3 linked regions of the Kluyveromyces lactis genome follow. The protein of the gene in region 2 binds, or shares a complex with, the protein of the main gene of each other region. Links are inferred from orthologs where the notes say so. Each region holds a gene or a part of one and is shown on either strand. Other genes may lie near its edges. The genes, in order: MTC5, RTC1 and SEA4.

What was found.
Region 1: the proteins of RTC1 (region 2) and MTC5 are in contact, whole or in part, in a cryo-EM structure (PDB 8ADL), measured with the Saccharomyces cerevisiae proteins. The link is inferred for Kluyveromyces lactis from reciprocal best matches to the Saccharomyces cerevisiae genes RTC1 and MTC5. Residues at the interface, in NP_014503.2 of Saccharomyces cerevisiae: Asp548, Cys659, Ile661, Leu663, Ile668, Phe669, Ile672, Arg673, Lys676, Ile677, Asp866, Leu867, Thr868, Lys871, Ile872, Ile874, Leu875, Asp878, Ser879, Trp882, Lys885, Trp886, Ile1154, Ala1155, Pro1157, Pro1158, Trp1159, Lys1163, Leu1164, Gln1167; in NP_010413.3 of Saccharomyces cerevisiae: Asp818, Glu819, His822, Cys823, Gln825, Ile826, Asp829, Met830, Ile832, Asp833, Gln834, Asp838, Tyr840, Thr841, Trp844, Asn845, His847, Met849, Gly850, Trp853, Phe854, Glu857, Ala858, Tyr861, Phe862, Arg864, Pro995, Ile997, Val999, Leu1001.
Region 3: the proteins of RTC1 (region 2) and SEA4 are in contact, whole or in part, in a cryo-EM structure (PDB 8ADL), measured with the Saccharomyces cerevisiae proteins. The link is inferred for Kluyveromyces lactis from reciprocal best matches to the Saccharomyces cerevisiae genes RTC1 and SEA4. Residues at the interface, in NP_014503.2 of Saccharomyces cerevisiae: Arg705, His1212, Glu1215, Phe1217, Gly1218, Ala1221, Asp1222, Leu1224, Lys1225, Met1233, Asp1238, Gln1239, Ser1240, Ser1241, Ile1242, Arg1243, Leu1244, Phe1245, Cys1246, Glu1247, Leu1252, Phe1278, Gly1279, Tyr1280, Trp1281, Thr1291, Ser1292, Val1294, Leu1295, Cys1296; in NP_009446.2 of Saccharomyces cerevisiae: Lys842, Glu845, Phe847, Ser848, Arg850, Ala851, Arg852, Asp854, Val855, Ser858, Arg862, Leu868, Ile872, Lys873, Pro874, Arg875, Gln876, Ile877, Tyr878, Ile879, Gln880, Gln882, Gln886, Asn887, Tyr941, Phe950, Pro951, Arg952, Cys953, Ala954.

Annotation. Positions count from the first base shown.
Region 1 is NC_006042.1:1,824,724-1,831,152, reverse strand, and holds MTC5 (Mtc5p), read right to left. Parts: upstream 4,326-6,429; coding exon 924-4,325; downstream 1-923. Other genes in the region: ERG27 (3-keto-steroid reductase), read right to left, coding at 1-664; ARO1 (pentafunctional protein ARO1p), read right to left, coding at 4,585-6,429. UniProt on the Saccharomyces cerevisiae protein: Component of the SEA complex which coats the vacuolar membrane and is involved in intracellular trafficking, autophagy, response to nitrogen starvation, and amino acid biogenesis. May be involved in telomere capping.
Region 2 is NC_006041.1:1,869,238-1,875,773, forward strand, and holds the start of RTC1 (Rtc1p), read left to right. Parts: upstream 1-2,989; coding exon 2,990-6,536. Other genes in the region: KLLA0_E20923g (uncharacterized protein), read left to right, coding at 1-287; KLLA0_E20945g (sugar porter family MFS transporter), read left to right, coding at 917-2,503. UniProt on the Saccharomyces cerevisiae protein: Component of the SEA complex which coats the vacuolar membrane and is involved in intracellular trafficking, autophagy, response to nitrogen starvation, and amino acid biogenesis. May be involved in a process influencing telomere capping.
Region 3 is NC_006041.1:581,153-587,433, forward strand, and holds SEA4 (Sea4p), read right to left. Parts: upstream 3,681-6,281; coding exon 783-3,680; downstream 1-782. Other genes in the region: PKC1 (protein kinase C), read right to left, coding at 1-2; NTO1 (Nto1p), read right to left, coding at 3,872-6,055. UniProt on the Saccharomyces cerevisiae protein: Component of the SEA complex which coats the vacuolar membrane and is involved in intracellular trafficking, autophagy, response to nitrogen starvation, and amino acid biogenesis.

The sequences.
Region 1 (6,429 bases), on a different chromosome or scaffold from region 2:
GCTTTTTCATCTCTTTATATGTTGCAGAATGTAACAAATCAACTAATCTTTTTGAACCTTCATAAGAAACATCGGATTCCAATAGCTGAATATCTTGTAAAGACAAATATTTAGGAGCGGACATGATACTAGAGACCCAAACGACAGTACCTTGTCCAGCCTGGAGTAACGGAAGCAGTTTTTGAATTAGATAATATGGTCCAAACACGTTTGCCTGGAACACAAGCCCCATCCCGTCCTTTGATTTGACTCCCACTCGTTGAATTTTATATGTTGGGTTTGTGACGGCCTCCAGTGGACTGGAGAAGACCTCTTTCACTGCACCCAACCAGTCAATCCCTGAGTAAACTCCTTGAGCTGCATTCACAAAGAAGTAATTGATGTGATCGTATCTTTTTGACAAGCTGTAGTGGGCATCAAGAATGCTGATCATGTTGGTAAAATCAACCAGCAGGTAATCATAATCTACAGAGCCAGTCCTATTAATGGTATTGACAAAAGCCTTAATTAAATCAATGCATTCACGAACCCTAGGTAATGTTCTTGATGTCACAACTATCGTGAGGTTGTCCTCTGGCTCGCTTCTCTCAATCAACCGATATACGATATTCAAACCTAAATTACTGTTTGTACCAGTGACCACTGCTACCTTTGACGAAGACATGCTGGTTTTGAAATTATTGGTACTCAATAGCTACTAGTATACGTAAATCAGTGCTAATGGACGGGAACGGTTCCTGTAGCCTGGAATTTTTCGCTTGTGTCGCATCATCATCACCATCTATTTGGTTTTCTAGTTCTTTCAGAATTCCGGAAGGTTTATCATCTCGTTTAAATATCATTAAAACCCAGGAAAGAAGGTGTATCAACGACTGATGGTTAAAAGAAGATGAACGATAAGACACTGCTACATAAGATGCATTTTATATAAGTGGTTCGCTGACATCGAAGTTCTTTATACAGTCGCAACTACACCCAGAGGGGCACTCATCGCCAATTTTCCACCATTTTTCTGCGCAAGTCCTGTGAGTCACGTGCTGACAATTACCGCATACGAACACCAATCTACCGGCTTTGAGGCCACAGTAGCTACAGTTTTGTTGAGTGTGTCCGTGGTTAGATTCAATCCACCTATTCGATACACCTTTGTAAATATCCAATCCCGAATCTTGTTCGATCCCATGCAAGTATTCAGGTTCTGTGTTTAAATTTACATTAAACTTCAACAACTCGGCCCTATCCATAGGCAACCCCCATATATAAAGTATCTCTGCATATTGCGTTCTATATTGTCTGAACTTGGTTTCACATTTCGGATCTACCAACGAAGGTTCCAGACCTTGGTAGGCAAGATCCAAAACATCGTCATGAATTAGTTTGATCTTGATATCGGGAATTGTCGCTTCAGTTTCTACATACCCATTGTTCATATTATTATGGGATTTCCCGTTCTTGTTTCCGTTAGCATGATGATTTTGATGGAAATAATCATCAGATATGATAGAAGAGCCATCGTTCAATGAGGCTTGATTGGTGCCATATCTCATTCTCGCATTTTGTGTACCTGTGTCATTAGAGTAGAACGATCCGTGAGTGGAATGAACATGTGGCGATGGCTCGTATTCATTGTTATAAAATGTAATGATGTTTTCTGATAAAGTAGGCGGAACTAGTTTATAATTTGTTTTCTGATCTGGCCTTCCAAGCGTAGCAAAGATGCAGCTCATCATTGCAAGCATTTGAAGATTTTGGCACTTCTCAAAATACTCGAATAGTCTTTTCACTAAAAGTTTACCACCCAATGAATGCTGGTCCCAATCATAATTGTAGAAATCGTTATCTCCTCTTCCTATTAAAACATTAGAAATCATTCTCCAGCATTGCGCGATATCTTCATAGCCGTAACTTTCCGCAATGCCTGCATTGTACTTCGCAACAAATTCAGGAGTTTCCCGAAATAAAATATACTGTTCAGCTAGCTCTTTTTTGTCGGGAATCAAACTTTTAAAATCTTGAACGACTATAGATGACTTGCTTTTTTTATTTGAATCGGTGGTTTTTCCGGATACACTCGTAGTAGATTTCGTCTCATCACGGAATATGCGTGGCATCATTGGCATCCTAGTCCTTAGTGTGAGATCATTTTTCAATATATCATCCAAGAACTCAGCATAGCTATCATCACTATCATCTGAATCCGAATCTGATGATTGATTTAGTGATTCACTGGCATGTTGTGAGTTTATGGATAGCGCTTCTCTATAAGTTTTTGGCTTTCTTTGTTTTCCCGATACGTTATCCTTCAAAGTTTGTGACGCACTCTGGACATTTTTTGATCTCACAAAACCTCCAATACCAGTTCTACCAACATTGATTATGGCGTGTTGCTTTTTTTCAGTTTTATTCTCAGCTCTAAAGAAGCAAACAAGGGTTCCTTGAGCGGTCCAAACTGCTCCACAACCGTTGGGGACAGGTGTGCTATCAAATTTTGGTTCTGGTGTACTAGAATACAATTGCAAAGAACCATCCCCGACAGCGAATTCAACATCTGATACAGAAGAAATCTCTGTAGGAGCATCGCTATGATCATCAGATGAACCCAAAGATGATCTATCTAAAGAAGTTACATCTTCGAAATCAAAGCTGAAAATTTTATTGTCGTCCTCCATGTCGGAAATATCCAAGTTAACTTCTTCTCCAAGTAGGTACTGTAAACACGGCTCAAGGCAATATCGATTTGCATCGACATATTTTTTGCTGATTTCTCTTAGTCGTTCCATTATCTGAGTTTTTTGATGTTCTTTTAATTCCCTGTTCTCTTCAATCTTGAACGCAGGTTCATTTCCTTTCATGGGGTAGTTTGGCGGGAAGTTAATAATAATACGCATGAAAATGTATTTTTCTGGATCTTCTTCCACCCATGGACCATTTAAAGTAATAATTAACTCTCCTGTCGAAACCGAAATTTTTTCAAAAACAATTCTAGGGAACTTGTGCCCAACGGAAGTGACTTCTTCTCCAAGATTGTTTAAACTCACCTCTTCAAATAGATCATGCGGTGAATCTTCGTTATGCATTCTCACACCCGAAATCCATTGTAGTTGATCTATATTGTTGTCAGCTTTCCATTGGCGTAGTCCGGATTTTGTAACAAAGGTTTCCTTCGGAATTTCTATATTTGTGTACCGGGGATCTACTATATTATTTTCAGGTTCTGATCTAAAAGTGTCGTAATCATAATCTGGTAGCTTCTCCGGCAGCTCTTTGCCACATTCGTAGTGAACTTTGTCGTAAACCATATCGGGTACTGGCCATAGTCTTAAATCGCAATCTTTGGACCAAGTAACCAATTGGAATTCTCTGTCATCAATGATGGTATTTTGACTGTGCCTCGATCTCCATAAGAAGTCCGTGACTCTATCTGTATGCCCCTTGAAAACGTACGTTGGCTGTAGTTTGGTAGTCCTTGACTCAGAATTGCCTGAGTCATGAAAAGAGTTCGCCAAATATACAGAATTATTTCCTCCTATCATCGGCATGATGCAATATCCGTCCCCAAACGGGAGATATCGTCCTCTCCACACAGGAAACTCTGTGGTAATTGTCATCTGTAGTTCATCTTCAACTTTATTATAATCCCAGAACTTTACCGTTCCGTCATTCCCACTTGACATGATTTCGGTTTCGTTGAATGGATTGAAGTCGATGCTATTAACGCTTCCGCTATGACCTTCTAATACAGATAACGGAGATGTACCCTTTCTTACATCCCAAACATACACGATATTCGAGTGCGAGGTTGCTAATACATTGGAATTTTTGTGATTCCATTTGACTTGTGCAGCACCAGATCTCCAGTTACTGGTTCTAAAATAAGGCTTCTTGGGGCTTCTCATATCCCAAGCCAGGGCGTAAGTATCAATTGAACTAGTAGCTAGGATTTCTGGTTGCAACGGGTGGAAATTTATATCTGTAATGGCTCTGAAATGGCCATGTAATACATGCTCCACTGCTTTAGAAGAGCTTCTAGATAGATTCCATACAATTGCTTTTTGATTCGACGTAGATATAACCCAGTGATGCTTGGCCGGATGCGGGCACCACTGCACGTCAGCAACCTCCCAAGACGTGAGATGGTGTAACCATCGAGGCTCTGAGAAAGGATCATCCAAGTCTACCACATAAAGGCCCTTTCGACTGGCTAATACGACATCTCTACCAGATGGATTGATAGAAACAGCATTAAATCCACCATCAACCCGAAGAGAAAGTGATTTCCCGAAGGTTGGTGATGAGTAAGGACCTTCCCCTACGTATTCAGACATTCAATCTCAAAGTGTGGCTTATATCGAAACCTCTAAAAAACACGAACCTTACTAGAATTCAATATACGAATGATGTTTCCTATTGAATTGTGCTTTGTTTCATTATATATTCATGATTCATTTTTTCCTATCAACAGTTAATAATGCTTTAAGGAATATTAACAAATAGTGGATTAGACATACATAAAAAGGGGAGTTAGAAAGCTATTATTAATCATTCGTGACGTTATTTGAAGTTTAAATGTATCTAATGTTTTATCTATTCTTGGGTAACTGCATCAAAGATAGCTTTAAATGGTGGTTTTGCACCTGTCCATTTAGAAAATTGTTCCACACCTTGATGAACCAACATTTCAGCGCCCGGAACGATATTCCAGTTGAACTTATCACGTGCGAGCTTCATGATAGGGGTCACTGAAGGCTTATATGCGGCATCTAACAAGGTTGGTTTGAAGGAGCTATTTGTACCTTTTGCCAAAAGTCTTTCCAATTTGTTTAGTAACTCTGGATCTAAAGGCTTATCAGCTGGAACACAAGAAACAGCAACAGAAACTTGTTCCTTAATTGACTCTGTTTGTTCGGCAGATTCGACGACAACAATCTTATATTCTTCGGAAAATTCGGATTTCAGCTTTTGTAGTTTCTCCGTGGTTCTGTTGAGCATATAAATGGTGTCACAACCAATTTGTTTCAAAGCGTATATAGCAGCTCTTGAAGTACCACCAGCACCGATAATCAGACCTGCAGAACCACTAACAGAACTAGGAACACCATTTGAAACCAAAGAGTTTTTGATACCTAACCAATCAGTATTGTCACCCCTGAATTTGTTCTTTCCTAAAGGAATAACAGTGTTTACAGCGCCAATGGTCTTTGCGGCTTCGCTCAATTCAAACATACTATCAATAATATCTAGTTTTAATGGGATGGTTACAGCTAAGCCACCGAGATCTTCTCTGGTCAAAAGTTCTTTCTTAACTACTTCGATATCTTCAGTTTCGAATTTATCAAAATGATGAGGTAAGCCTAGTAGCTCATACCCAGTGTTGTGCAAGATCGGAGATCTGGAATGTCCAATTGGAGAACCAATAACAAAGAACTTCTTGGCTGGTAATCCACCGATTTGGTGATACAATTGGTTGATTTCAGCTAGTGTCAATTGACCAGGGGCAGCGGCGGATGGTAGTAACTTGGAGGTAACAGGTGTCAAAATATTATTTAGCACCCTGGATAGCTTACCTGTTTCAGTCATATTGATAGCAATTAGTGGCTTCAAAGTATGAGTGGACCTGAATTTTTCCAAAGCCAAATTGTCATCGAAGCTTACTGCTGTGCCAACGAACTTCACAATGTCCACGTCTAAAGAAAGAGCTTGGTTATATCTATTTTCCCATTCAGCATCATCCCATGGGAATTTAGCTGCAAAATCATGATGGGAGCCAATAATCTTTGTGTTTGATTTCTTGTTCAAAACATTGTAGAGTATGTTGTTAGGCAATGTCAACTCTAAATCGATGTATTCAACAGCGTTCTTCAGAGCGACCTTCAACAATGATTCAAGTAAATCATAATCATCATCTTGGAATTTCCCTCCTTGGCTAACTGTTCTCACAGTGAAAACAATAGGTAGCGATTTGGTTGCAGCTCTTAACAAGGAGATTTGTTTGGTGACAAAGTCTGAAGAAAAGGATGATAAATGATCAACTCTTAGTTCTACTGCTTCACAACCATAGGTTATTTCATCCAATTTTGACAAATGATCCGATAGGTCTTCGAAAGTCAAACAGACGAAAGCTGATCTCCTGGAAGGTACAGGAATCTTTTCAGCGCCAAGTACACGACGAATGAAGTTGCTGAACACATGTCTTAAATTCCTGAATTCAATTTCATTGGAGCAATGAGCCGCAAAGAAGGTAAAGTTCGAACATTCATGGTACCACTTTTCTCTTCTTTCCCACACATCGCGAATTTCTTCAATGTAAGCTGGTCTAGTTGGGTCGCTCTTTAGGAAAACGATTGTCTCTTCGATATCACGGTGAAGATGTAGGACGATACCGCCGCTTTCGGCAAACCTCTTCAAAGCCTGTCTTGATTCTGATCTTTC
Region 2 (6,536 bases):
AGGGTATACACTACAAACCAAACAACCTAAATTACAGTTGGGATATATTAACCTCGAAATGGAGACAATCACAAAGCGGAAAATCAAGGAACGATTACTTGAAAGCCAACATCCAGAACTACTATCAAGAATGCAATAAATCAGGGTTGGATGAATATGCTGCAGAAAAAATCAAGGATGCTAAGAGTTGGAAAGTGAACTATAGCGCCACGGAAGAAAAATCATCAAAGCCAAACTCAGACGCACAATCTACCCGTTCAAGTCATACCCAGTTAGAACAGATCTGATCAATATTACGTTATCGTGAGCTGATTAACGGTAGTTTTCAATGCGAGTACCAATTGGTTGATAGATTACCTTCGAATTCTTGTACTTTCAGTGTTGTTATTTTTTTTTTCTAAGGTAAAAAACTGGACGCTCTCGTCCATAGAGCTCTTCGGCAGCCTAATGATCTTGATACAGAAGACTTCATAACACCAATATGATCGACGTTTAGGAAACTCTAGCATCTGTACGAGGTTTCTCTGAAATGAAACTTTTTTTTATTGTGTCAGTTGTAATGTATGAAATGTGACGCAAGTCGGCATACAAAAAAAAAAATTCATGATACCAAAAGGAAATAATCCTCGATAAAGTGAGGTTGAATGTGGGAATTCGAGTTAGAAACTCTAGATGTGAAATCTCTATTGGAACTCAGTATTTATGACTTTTGGAAACTTTTCAATGTACGAAAATTTTGTATAAATACAGGACAAAGTACACTGTCTTGAACACTTGAAACTTGAATAACGTATTCTCGTCTTCAAGAATGATCAAAGGTCTCATTTAGAAACGCCTAATAAGTTTAAACTTACAAAATCACCCAGTGTCGATAACAAAACTTCAAGGATCTAGCTGTCATACATCAACAATTGAAATGTCCTTAGATACAGAATCATTTGAAACTGCTGAAAAAGCAATTGAGGTAGTCACAAAGGAAATGGTATCTTTGACAAATTACTCAGCCATTGGATCATTAACCAGTCAGTTATCTCAGAATGACACTAAGTCAGGTGGAATTGAACAGAAAAAGTTACCGTTGAAACCAATATTATTGTGTCTGGCTACTTCTTTTGCAGGGTTTATCTTTGGCTGGGATGTTGGCACAATTGGTGGGATTACAAACATGGTATCATTTCAAAACTTTTTTGGTACCAACTTTGATTCTTCGAGTAATACACACTACTTTCCAAAACTTCTTATTGGATTAATCGTTTCCATTTTCAATATCAGTTGCGCACTTGGTGGATTATTTCTAGTGAAGATTGCTGATATTAATGGAAGAAAACCAGGTATTTATGCTGCAATCACTATCTATTCGTTGGGAACATTGATTGGCTGGACATGTGGCTCCTCTTGGTGGTATTTCTTCTTCGCAAGGTTCATTTCAGGACTTGGTGTTGGTGCTACTGCGGTGATGATACCAATGTTTATAGCCGAATCTGCTCCCATCAACATTCGTGGTGCCATGGTTGTGCTCTACCAGTTAATGATCACTCTTGGAATTTTGCTCGGAAATGTCATCAACTATTGTTGCAGATCCACTTTACACGAAACAGATAATGCCACATGGAAGATCCCTGTAGGATTAGGAAACGTCTGGGCCGCTATCGTCGCGCTAGGTGTTCATTTTATGCCTGAATCACCAGTTTTTCTTACCAAGAGGTTAGGAAGCGCTCTCAAAGCTAAGGCAGCTTTTGCCCATATGAACAATTTGGACGTAGATGATCCAATTGTGGATAGTCATATTAGGAAGATGATGGAATCAGCTGACGCGGAGGTATCTACTCACAATGATATGAAGAACAGCAGGTTTGAATTCATACTCGGTCAACCAAGATTAGGTTTTAGACTATTTATTGGTATTATGGTGATGGCGTTTCAACAGCTATCCGGTGCAAATTACTTCTTCTATTATGGTACAACACTTTTCAACTCTGTGGGAATTGAAGACCCATACTTAACGTCGATTTTATTGTCTTCTGTCAACTTCATATCTACCTTTTTCGGTATTTATTTAGTTGAAAAGTTAGGCAGAAAAGCATGCTTAATTCTTGGTTCCGCGGGTATGTTTACCTGTATGTCCGTGTATGCGTCAGTCGGATCGTTCGCACTTAATAAGTCGCCTCAAAACTCTGGTGCGATTATGGTTACCTTCACGTGTGTTTACATCATGTTCTTTGCATGCACATCGGGACCTGTGTCCTTTGTCGTCATTTCGGAGTTGTTTCCAAGCAGGACAAAAGCGATATCCATGGCAGTGTGTACCTCAATCAATTGGCTTTGCAACTTCTTCATTTCTTTATGCACACCATATGTCACTGATAAGATAGGCTTCAAGTTTGGGTTCGTTTTTGCTGGTTGTCTATTTGTCTCATTCTGGTTCTTCACTTTCTTATTGAAGGAAACTAAGAACAAAACTCCTGAACAGGTTGACGCATTGTATTCTATTGACAAGCAATAGGCAATGGACCATACAGGTATACTTCTACAAACAAAGAAATTTACAATGAGCTCAACTGTTCACATAATCTACTGAAGCCTCCCGATTTCTCTGTTCGAGTGTGCGCTTGAATCGCTCTCCTTCATATAATTTCACTGTGTAAAACCTATTAACTTTCTCATTACGTATCATTTTACAAGTGTCTCAATGGCATTAAATTTGTAATTATTTCAGAAGAATTTTAATAACAAGGCATTTCTGTCTCCCAGCCCTGTGATATCTTAATACTTCTATTTACTCTTGTGTTGTTTTATCGGGCTCTCACTTATCAATCACCGAAGATGATTCCTGATTCCTCATATATTTACTCAACAAGAAAAAAAGGAAGAGATGGCAATATGTAATTGAAAATATGAAAGCACTCACATACTATGATTCAAAAATCCAGCAATTGGTTGTAAGCCAAATAAACCGGTGATCGAGAGCACTGAGTATTGTTGCTCAACGATGTTTAAAAGAGGTTCAAACAGAGCTACTTCGTCTTCTCAAGGGCAGCAACCAGAAAATCCTCCCTCTCTGAAATATCAGTCGTCAAGTTCACGATACTCTTTTCATCGACAGTACAACACAGGTTTTGGAACTTCACCTTTTAGGATATCACCTAAGTATAAACCAGATAGCCGCACTCCCTTCAGTTTTGATGGTACGGGAAATGTTGGACCAGAGAGCTCTCTTAATGAAGAAGAATCAAATGCAAGATGGAGACCTTCTGAAAGTTCATTTGACAAACGTAGAACTTTCCACGGCGCTAAATACTCTCTGAGTATCGGAAAGGAAGTCTCAAGTATAGATAAAATCAATTCACCGGAGAGCAGATCCTTGATAATAGCAGGAAAAAGCCATTTAGGTATTTACACTTTCGATGAAGATTCTAAGACGATAACTAATGTACATGATTTCTTACAGACAGCGAAGACAAATACTGGGATCACGAAGAACACTTCATCGACACTACGGAGAACAACAAAAAAAATTTCAACCATATCTGATGTTAAAGCTGGCTTTTACAATCACAAAAACTATGTAGCAATTTGTGGTACTTCAACGTCTGTTGCGATTTACGATATTAATAAGACATCAGCGATAGACAATCCAGTTGTAACATCTCTCTCAGAACATACAAGATCTATCAATAGTGTGGATTTCAATATGGTGCAGACAAGCTTATTAATTAGCGGTGGACAAGATGGATGCATAAAGATTTGGGATTTGAGATCTCCTAAAATCTCCACCACTAGGAGTGATGTAAGTATCAACACCGGGTCTGATTCCATTAGAGACGTAAAATGGATGCCTTCTTACGAGTTTTCTAATGATACCAATGGTCTTTCAAACAGACATTTCAAATTTGCCAGTGTGCATGACTCTGGATTATTATTGAAGTTTGATTTGAGACAACCAAACCAAGCTGAAAAAAAGATTAATGCACATTCTGGTCCCGCCTTATGTTTGAATTGGCATCCGCATCAGGACTACATTATTAGTGGTGGAAGAGACGGAAAATGTTGCTTGTGGTATGTAGGCGACAAATCTAATCAAGTTGGTAACATTAGTAGTACCAACCTCAATTCAAGTAATCCAGCAACGCATAATTTATCATCATCATACCCCTTGGGGCTATCCAACACCCTTGCATTTCCTGAGCTCACAATAAATACCGCTCGTTCCATGAATAAACTTAAGTTTCGTCCAAAATATGAGACGAATGTATTCAATTCATTGATTGGGACTTCATCCATGGGCGAAGATTCGGATGTATCTGTTTATTCGCTAGCAAGAAAATATATTCCTAAAAACGTTATTGCTTCCAGTGCACCTTCTGTTGGTTTTGTCTGGTGGGATGACGACACGATATTCAATATAGACAAGCAAAATACCGTTACTGGGTGGGATATCTCTCATGAACCGACTGTACTTGATAATTTGCCGAAAAACACAATAAAATGGAGAGATTTGGATGGCGATGGTATTCTGTTTTTGGACCAAAAACCAGGTGGGTATTTGTCTCAAGAAGAGACAGTTTTGACACCAGGTAGTGGAGAGAATCGCAAGATGCCTTTCACACACAGAATGAGTAGTGCAACTGCTAACAGTTTTACTGGAGGAAATAATCCTAACATTACAAGCAACACAAGTAGCAGTGCCGCAAGTTTCTCAAAAAACCCGACACTTGGCATGTCTCAACTTCACCAGGGCAACGTATTAGGTGAAAGGTCAACTATGTCAAAGCATGCACAATCCGTTAACAGCAAATTTTCGCCTTCGGTTAACAGCTCGCCGTGGACCAATCCGTATTCGTCCCCTCATCATAACTCAATCGTGTCAGGATCGGAATCGGCATTACATGCGGTTAATGATTCCTTTCTACAATCTCCATATTTGATAGGATTAGACTTTCCGCATATTTTGAACACAATACGGAACACTAGGCTCGCAGAATTTAACAGAAAGGTCGAAAGTGCAGCTTTATTAGAATTAAAGTCATCTCCAACTGAAGTTTTCAAGTTTTTAGCACGGGAATTGAAGTTTTCGTATAAATATAACAGTATTGAAACAAAAGACAACGGCCGAGAGCTTGATTCATCGAGCACACATGGCTCAGTGGATTCTAAAACGAATTTGATGGAAAAGTTGGGGTTATCTGAAAATAATACTTGGACTCATTTGATCAAATATACGAAATCTCACGACTCTGACGAAGTCATATCGAAAGGCACAGAGCTTAAAACACCAGTTTCTGACAAAAGTGCTAATATCGAAAAATCAGCTACGAATCATAAAGCTGAAACCAATCAGGATGAGAACAGTTCCTGCATCAACTCTTCAAACCAGGTAAAAACCAAAAACCTCATCGAACTGATAACTCTATGTGATAAGAACGCTGAAATTTATATCATGCTTGAGGACTTTTCAAACTACAAAATTTGGCTTCTAATGCGGGATTCATTATTATGGGACTTGAAAGTCCTAACCGAGTCAATGGCTGTTGACGTGACAGCTGACCAAGAAGTCAACGATCAATCGTCCATTGACCAACCTTGGAAAAAAAATGACAGTTTTACTAGCTTGAAAGAGGCAAGGCAAGCATCTGTTGCTAGTGGCTACAGTTCATATAGTGCTACGGATCTGAGCTCCTCGGTAAATACAAATAATAGACATTCTTTCAACGAACCCACTCATCTAACCCAAACTCCTCCAGTATCACATTTAAAGGCTCAACTTCAAGGTTCAAAAGAAACTACGACTATATCGAGGGCTGACTCGATTCAAAATTCGTTACAGAACGATATCATCGAAATTAGAAAGCTGCGTCAATCTCATGGAGATAGAGCAGAACTAGCAATTGATGAAGAGGAAGAAGGAGAAGAAAGAGAGGAACTTACAAAAAGGGCGTTCGAAGAAGATGAAAACAATAAACAATTCATTAATATCCCAAGAAGGGAATCAGGGCCTAGCGCTCTCATGCCGAGTCCTTCTCATGTTTCCTCACAAAGCGAAATTCCTTCAAATCCGGAAAACCATCACCAGCCACGTCGGCCGCGGACATCTTTTATAGACTCCTTCATGTCACAATTACGTTCTCCAGGATCGTCAAATGTTGATGCTGATAGGGAAAGTACTGGTAGCAAAAAATCTTCCATGCCAAGCTTTAGCTCTTCGGCTGCCACATTTTTGAATAGCAAGAAATCGCAAAACGCGAATCATAATAAATTGAAAAGCGCAACTGAAGTATCAGATATATTGGAATCTGAATTTGCTACTCAAAAATCATGGAACGGGAGCGTTGCAAAAACTACAACTCAAATGTCTGGTATTACTGCTCTTATGAATGAAACTAAAAAACTGGAAAATACTATTACCCCACCTTGGTCATCAAGGCGATTAATTCATCAATTATACGAACAGAGTGTTGCTTCAGGAAATATCCTACTAACGATGGCAATTTTGTTATTATTTCAAGATATGTTTCAACTTGTTGATACAGAGACAGTTA
Region 3 (6,281 bases), about 1.3 Mb from region 2:
ATAGTTTCATACAATAGTAATATCTTTTTATGCTCAGTTCAGAGTGTTCATACGTTAGATGGCTAGTTGGTGCCTTATAAGTTCATGAAATAGAATCAACGCACCACTTTGACAGGATCTGATCTGAAACAATTTCAAGCTGTGTTCGCCCAGAATACCAATATTTTAAGATCCCAAACCACTGAGAAAAAAATGTTTGTAAGAGAAATATTCAACGAAAAAAAAAGTCCCAACTAAACTGACTTAATAAACCGTTGTTTATAGTCGTTCTTTCCTTTAGTTTTTGGTATCCTTAAAGATATTGTTGAGATCAAAAAAAACCATATATTTGTTTGTATCTGGATAGATCAAACTTTTTATTTTCTTAGTTTCGCCACATGATTTCCTGAAATAGAGCTCACGCATTTCAACTGATCGGGGAATCTTAACTAGTCACGTGAAGAGGCTTGCGCTCATGCGAATGACGGTGGGCAATGATGGAAAAGATGGCTTTAAGTTCCATCGCTGAACCACGGTCCATCCTATAACTCGATGAATATGCTCGGGGAAGTTTTCCAAGTATGGTACTGCGTTGCTAGTATCATTATTTTGTGGATGCGTAATGATTCATTCTGAAAGCAACGTTCAGCCGCTTGATATCTGCATATGAGATATTTGTATGTACTAATAGTGGGAGAAATGAGTTTTTGGCGAGGTTAAGGATTAAAGAGATTATATACGCTGAATAACAAGTTTAATGATTTATCCTAGAGCGTTTAGGTCCGAAATATTGGTAGAGTGTTTCATTGATGGCATAAACACGAACACCCAGGAACAGGACAAATTGAATGTCTTTCAAACCATTCCTCTGCATGACCGGCATGCATACCATGATTACACTTGAGACAGAAACTGAACCATTCGTTCATTTTCAAACGCTTTCTTTCCTTGACCTCGTTAATTTTCGCGTCGTCATCGATTCGTACTTCACATGAGTTGGTGGTGCCATTGATGACTATGGGGAGATTTGAAGTACCCAATGGCAAGAGACAAATAGCACATCTTGGGAAAGGCGTGCCACAATGTGGACATGAATGTTTCTGTTGGGGGACATCACCGTTTGTATTATTGAGGCCGAATTTCTTTCCTGCATTTAAGTTTTGATTAGCATGTCTTGGTAGGGATGCATTAGAAGACACATCAATGGGTCTGTTGATATTCTTCTTACATTTGGAACATTGTAAATACATTTGACGAGGTTTTAACTTCGCTGTAATTCGACCATCACTAGTCCTAGATAATTTTGTCTTGAGCACATCGAACTTGGCCCTCATAGTGAAAAATTCCCAGGAATTTAACATATGGCGATATGTTTCAACCCATTCATCAACTCTTGGGTCCATGAAGTATCTTGGGGAGCCGAAAACTGAAATTAGTGCAGCAGTTTGAATATCACTAGTCTTTCCAACGTACGATTGTAGAAGATCAATACCATTAGGCGTTATACCAGTCAAGATCAATCCTTCTAGTTCACCATTTTCAATAACAGTAGTAGCAGTTTTTTCTAAAAATCTGGTTAGATCTGTGTCATTTAGAAATCTAAGAGCAACACCAAGCCTTTCCCTTAGAGAGATAGCGCTCTCATACAGGATATCCCACCAATCATTGTCTGCAATGAATGCAAAAATGACTCTCAAATAGGGATCATCAAGCTCAGCAGCCATTTTTCTACATTGCTGTCTCCATGCATTGTCACCTGGCTTTTCACTATAAGCTTGATAACCTGCAATGGCCGCAGCAATGAGTCTAAGACGTTCTTTATTTGCAGATCCCAAAATAGATATAGCTTTCTGAACGTCACCGAAGAAGACAGCCCAGGCAGCAGCTTTCTCATAGTGATTTTGAGCTATTAGTGATTTATATTTTTCTTCGTAATCTGAAGGAGACAAATCCCAGCCACTAATAATCATACAGAGTCTTCTCTGAATGGCCTTTTTTGATGACATTTCGGAATTTAAACTGGAAACATTCCCAATTTTGTTTTTACTCTTGCTTCTCATCTTAATGATCTTCTCCAATTCCTTGTTTAACTGCTTTTCTGTGAGCATTCCTCCAGATCTATAACGATTCTGATTGGAGAGACCTTCAAGACCATTCCATATCCCTAAAACGCCTTCGTAGCCTAAATCTAAGTCTCCTGAAACCATTGTTCCGTCAGCTATGGATGCCTTCGCTATCGCCATCCATCTCCAAGTATTGCGAATGTAGATATTGTTATTGAAGTTATCGGATTTATCCATCATTTCGACAGTTTTCATTGGATCAAGACCATATCCCAGACTCGCGCGTTTACGCATTATAAAACTTATATCATTCTGTAACAGCTTCTCTGCCTCGATGTAAAACTCTTTAACGTCTTCAGAATCACTCAAGTAATCGCCGTCATCTTCCATACTTCCGGATGATTTTTTTTCATCCAGAGTTAATATCTTCAAGTCATCTCCTGTATCCAGGTCTTCGAAAGACAAGTTTTTTAGCCCGGTATCTAAATTTTCCAGCAATGAAACTTCATCCTCACCTGTTATTCTCAATTCGTTGACATCATTGTTTTGATCTGAGATAGACATTATGCTATTGTAGTTATTGATTTTCGATTGTGAAAATCCTTGTTCGACATTCATCCGATAGATAGTTCCGGATTGTCTCATGCATAGAAGACTTGTTCTGCCAGTACTCTTGGGTATATAATCGAAGGTAACAACACGATCAAAAGTCGTTTTAATGTCATTCACCGTGGAAACGAACAAGGAATCATTTAGTTCGTTATTCGACTCTAAATCTGGTACGTTGGCCAATCTCCAGCGTTTAATTGTAGTGCCTGCGTGTAATGTCGAAAACTCTCCACTTCTCAATGGAGACCATCTGAAACATGAATTCATATATTTTCTAGAAGCTGCACCATGACCAACAAGTTTGTCAAATTTAAGTAATGGTTGTGCCTCCAAAAACTCAGTGTCTTCAGAGTTACTTGCTAGCTTTCTTCTATCCCAAAAGGCCAACGTACCATCGTCAGCATATGTTGAGAATTGCCAAGGGTTAAAAGGATTTATCTTGATGTCATATGAGACACGAGTTGGATGCTGGTATATAGGATTAGGAGCTCTAAGGTCAATTTCTTTCAAGAGTTTTGAACTTGCAGCTAAGATGCTGGTATCGTCGACAAATTTCAATGACACGATACTTTCGTTCAAACAATATGAAAAAGATGGTGTGATAACATTTGATTCCGTGCTTTGGTAGTTTACATCCCACACCTGTACAGAGGCATCATGCTTATTGCGATCTAAACCCATGGCTATTAGGCCATTTGTATTTATACTCAAACTGTTGATAGTTCGCTGGTGCTTTGCTCGTACTCGTAGATCGAACGGCTCGTATGCATCGTCCGTATCCAAAATATTAAATAACCGTACAACACCGCTTTTCTCACCGACACCTACTATACCTTCATCTGTATTAGAGTAATCTAGACATGTTATATTTCCAAAGTCCTTTACTGTATTCACCTTAACGATGGACTCGTCTGTCTCCACATCCAGCTTCACTCGGTAATGAGAAACTTCATCTCTTGTAGGATTAACAGACAAAAAATCCAACCCTTCCACATTTGGCCAACAAGGAACGCGTTTAATCAAGCCCATGAAGTAATACTGGTGGATTGGCCTCGACAGATGCTTTACTACATTGAATACCGTAATATTATTTGATGCATCTTATCACTCATTCTGAAGTTATCTTGAAATAATTTACCGTATATAGTTTTATTACCCGGATATATGTACATAGGAACAGGAGAGTTAAGTACTGAGTGAACGAAAACTTGATGGATAATTCAGTCACGTAGTAGTCCTTTCAATTGTCTTTCCTGTTTGATCGATAAATCTTCAACATCAGCTAGTCCTTCGCGTGCAAGTATTTTCCGGCCCTTCCAATTAACCTCTTCTACTTGATGTGTTCTCTCATCTATATCGAAATCGTCATGTAATAAAGTATGTACATCTAACTCATCAATCTTAGATAAAAGTTTGTTAAGATCGTTGATGAGCTTAGATCCCATTATTACCAGTGATCTCGGTGACCTCTCATTGGATGTTATTTTCACTATATTTCCAACAAATTCATCCTTGAATTCTTGGACAGATAAGTATTCATCATTTTCAAGCCTGGAGCTAATGTAAGGTATGACCTTGAAATTTGAAGATGATTCGAGGTCTGCAAAAGATTTAAAAGATAAAGTCTTTGTGAGATTGTTCCACACAACATCCTTCAATATATACCTTATCGGATGGAACGCAATGTCGTTTATGATCCTTTGGTTTCTTACCCTTTCAACATTACATTCTTGTTTAGCCACCAAAGATGATGCAAGACCTTCCAATGAATTGAGGTCTCTCAAAAGAACTTCTGAGAATACGATTCTGTCATTTAGCTCTTCGGTATCTAGAGTATTCAAAGAAGATGGGCTGAACTTTCTTACCAAAGGAGCGCCTCTTTTGAGTTCTCTTTTCATTGTCCAGTACTTGCATATATCCAACGAAATTTGCTCGGAATTTGGAACATGAAATCTGTTTAAAACTCTCATTGTAATATCTGCGAAGGCTTGAGGTGCAATTAAAGTTCCCCTACTGGTTTTCCATTTATTCTTAATGGTTTTCTTGGCAGATTGCTTGTTTTCTTCCACGGCACTGTCTTGTAGCACCTTGTGATGATTAATGTGATTAAAATAATCCCTAGTTTTACGAATTCCGTCTTCACAGCTACTCCAGCCGTTAGGAGAATGTTTGTGACAAAAACTTTCCAGGAAAGCACCTGTGGAAAAGTTTTTTGAGGCAGCCTCTTGAACTGTACATCCATTGAAGTTCATGTATAATCCAGCTCTTTTAGCGCACGTAGTGTGATACGCTGCAAAACAGTTCTTATTCGAGCATTGGATGCAAGCACCGACCTCTTGTTTGCAAATATAACATGTGAGCTTCCATCGACTTTTCGGGATATTCTCTATTCCTCCAATCGGCTCCATATAGTGTAGATTTCCGAAATAAAGCTCTGGTATCCAAATTCCACATAACACATGGCCCCACGATCCGTTATCCGTTTGTTTGAAAGCTCCAGTGGTACTGGGACAAAAGAGACACTCGAGCTTTCTATTTTTGGATATCATGCATCTTCGGCAAAGCCACTGACCTTCTGGAATGAAAACTACACCATAGCATTCCTGATGTACGGCGATATCGCAACCATCGCAAAATACTATCGCATTCGAATTATCACATTCTATGCCTCCACATACTGCACACGGTTGATCCATTGGGTATCCAGTACCGTCGTCTGATCCGTATAACTCATGATGCTTCCAGGCAGCATGAGATTCATGCGTATTATTAGTAGCACTAGGTGATACTCTTGGTGGAATTTTCTTCTCTAAATGGAAAGCTTCGTTCTCTAATATCGTAATAACTATTTCGAAAACTTCGTGTGATAACTTATGCTTAGAATTTGTCAGTGCCGTATTTAAGTGCCGAAGGAATAAGTCATCTTGCTCATCCATATCATACTCTACCTTAAAATTAACCTGGTATGGCGAAACATCAGCAAAAAACTCATTGCTATGCTTCATCAATAGATCAGTCTTCTTACAGTATGACTTTTGATCTAATCCGCAAGTACGATCTGCATGAGATCTGTATCCGTATTTTACCAACTGTTTATTAACCTTGCCATGAGGATTTAGCTGTGATATCCGAATCTTACAGCGCTTGAACTCTGCGTTCTTGATTTGAGGTCCTAGCATTTCGATTGTTATGCTATCGTTTACGATCAATTGTTTCCATGACTTCAAATGTTCTCGCAAATTATCGTCAGGATACACTTCTTCTTCATCGTGGCGATGACGATCATTCAACTCATCATGATTATTTTTCCCAAAAAGGACAAGGTCATTTACGTCTAAATCCGGATAGAAATGCTTAAAACTAACTTCTTCTCGAAGCCTAACGCCGTCCTCTTGAGTTTGCATTAGTTTATCCCAACTATATTACAGCCTATCGTATCCAAAATGAGCTTCTTCGGTGAAAAGAGGCATGTCATCACATCTAATTGGATCGTTTTCAACATATAGGCCGATTCATTTATCTTTTTTCTTTGTTATGGTTTTCGGAGTATATATCACGTGATATGATTGAATGTTAATTTGACTTAAGAACTGACTCTGCAAGCGTCCGTAGATATGATCGACACTCATT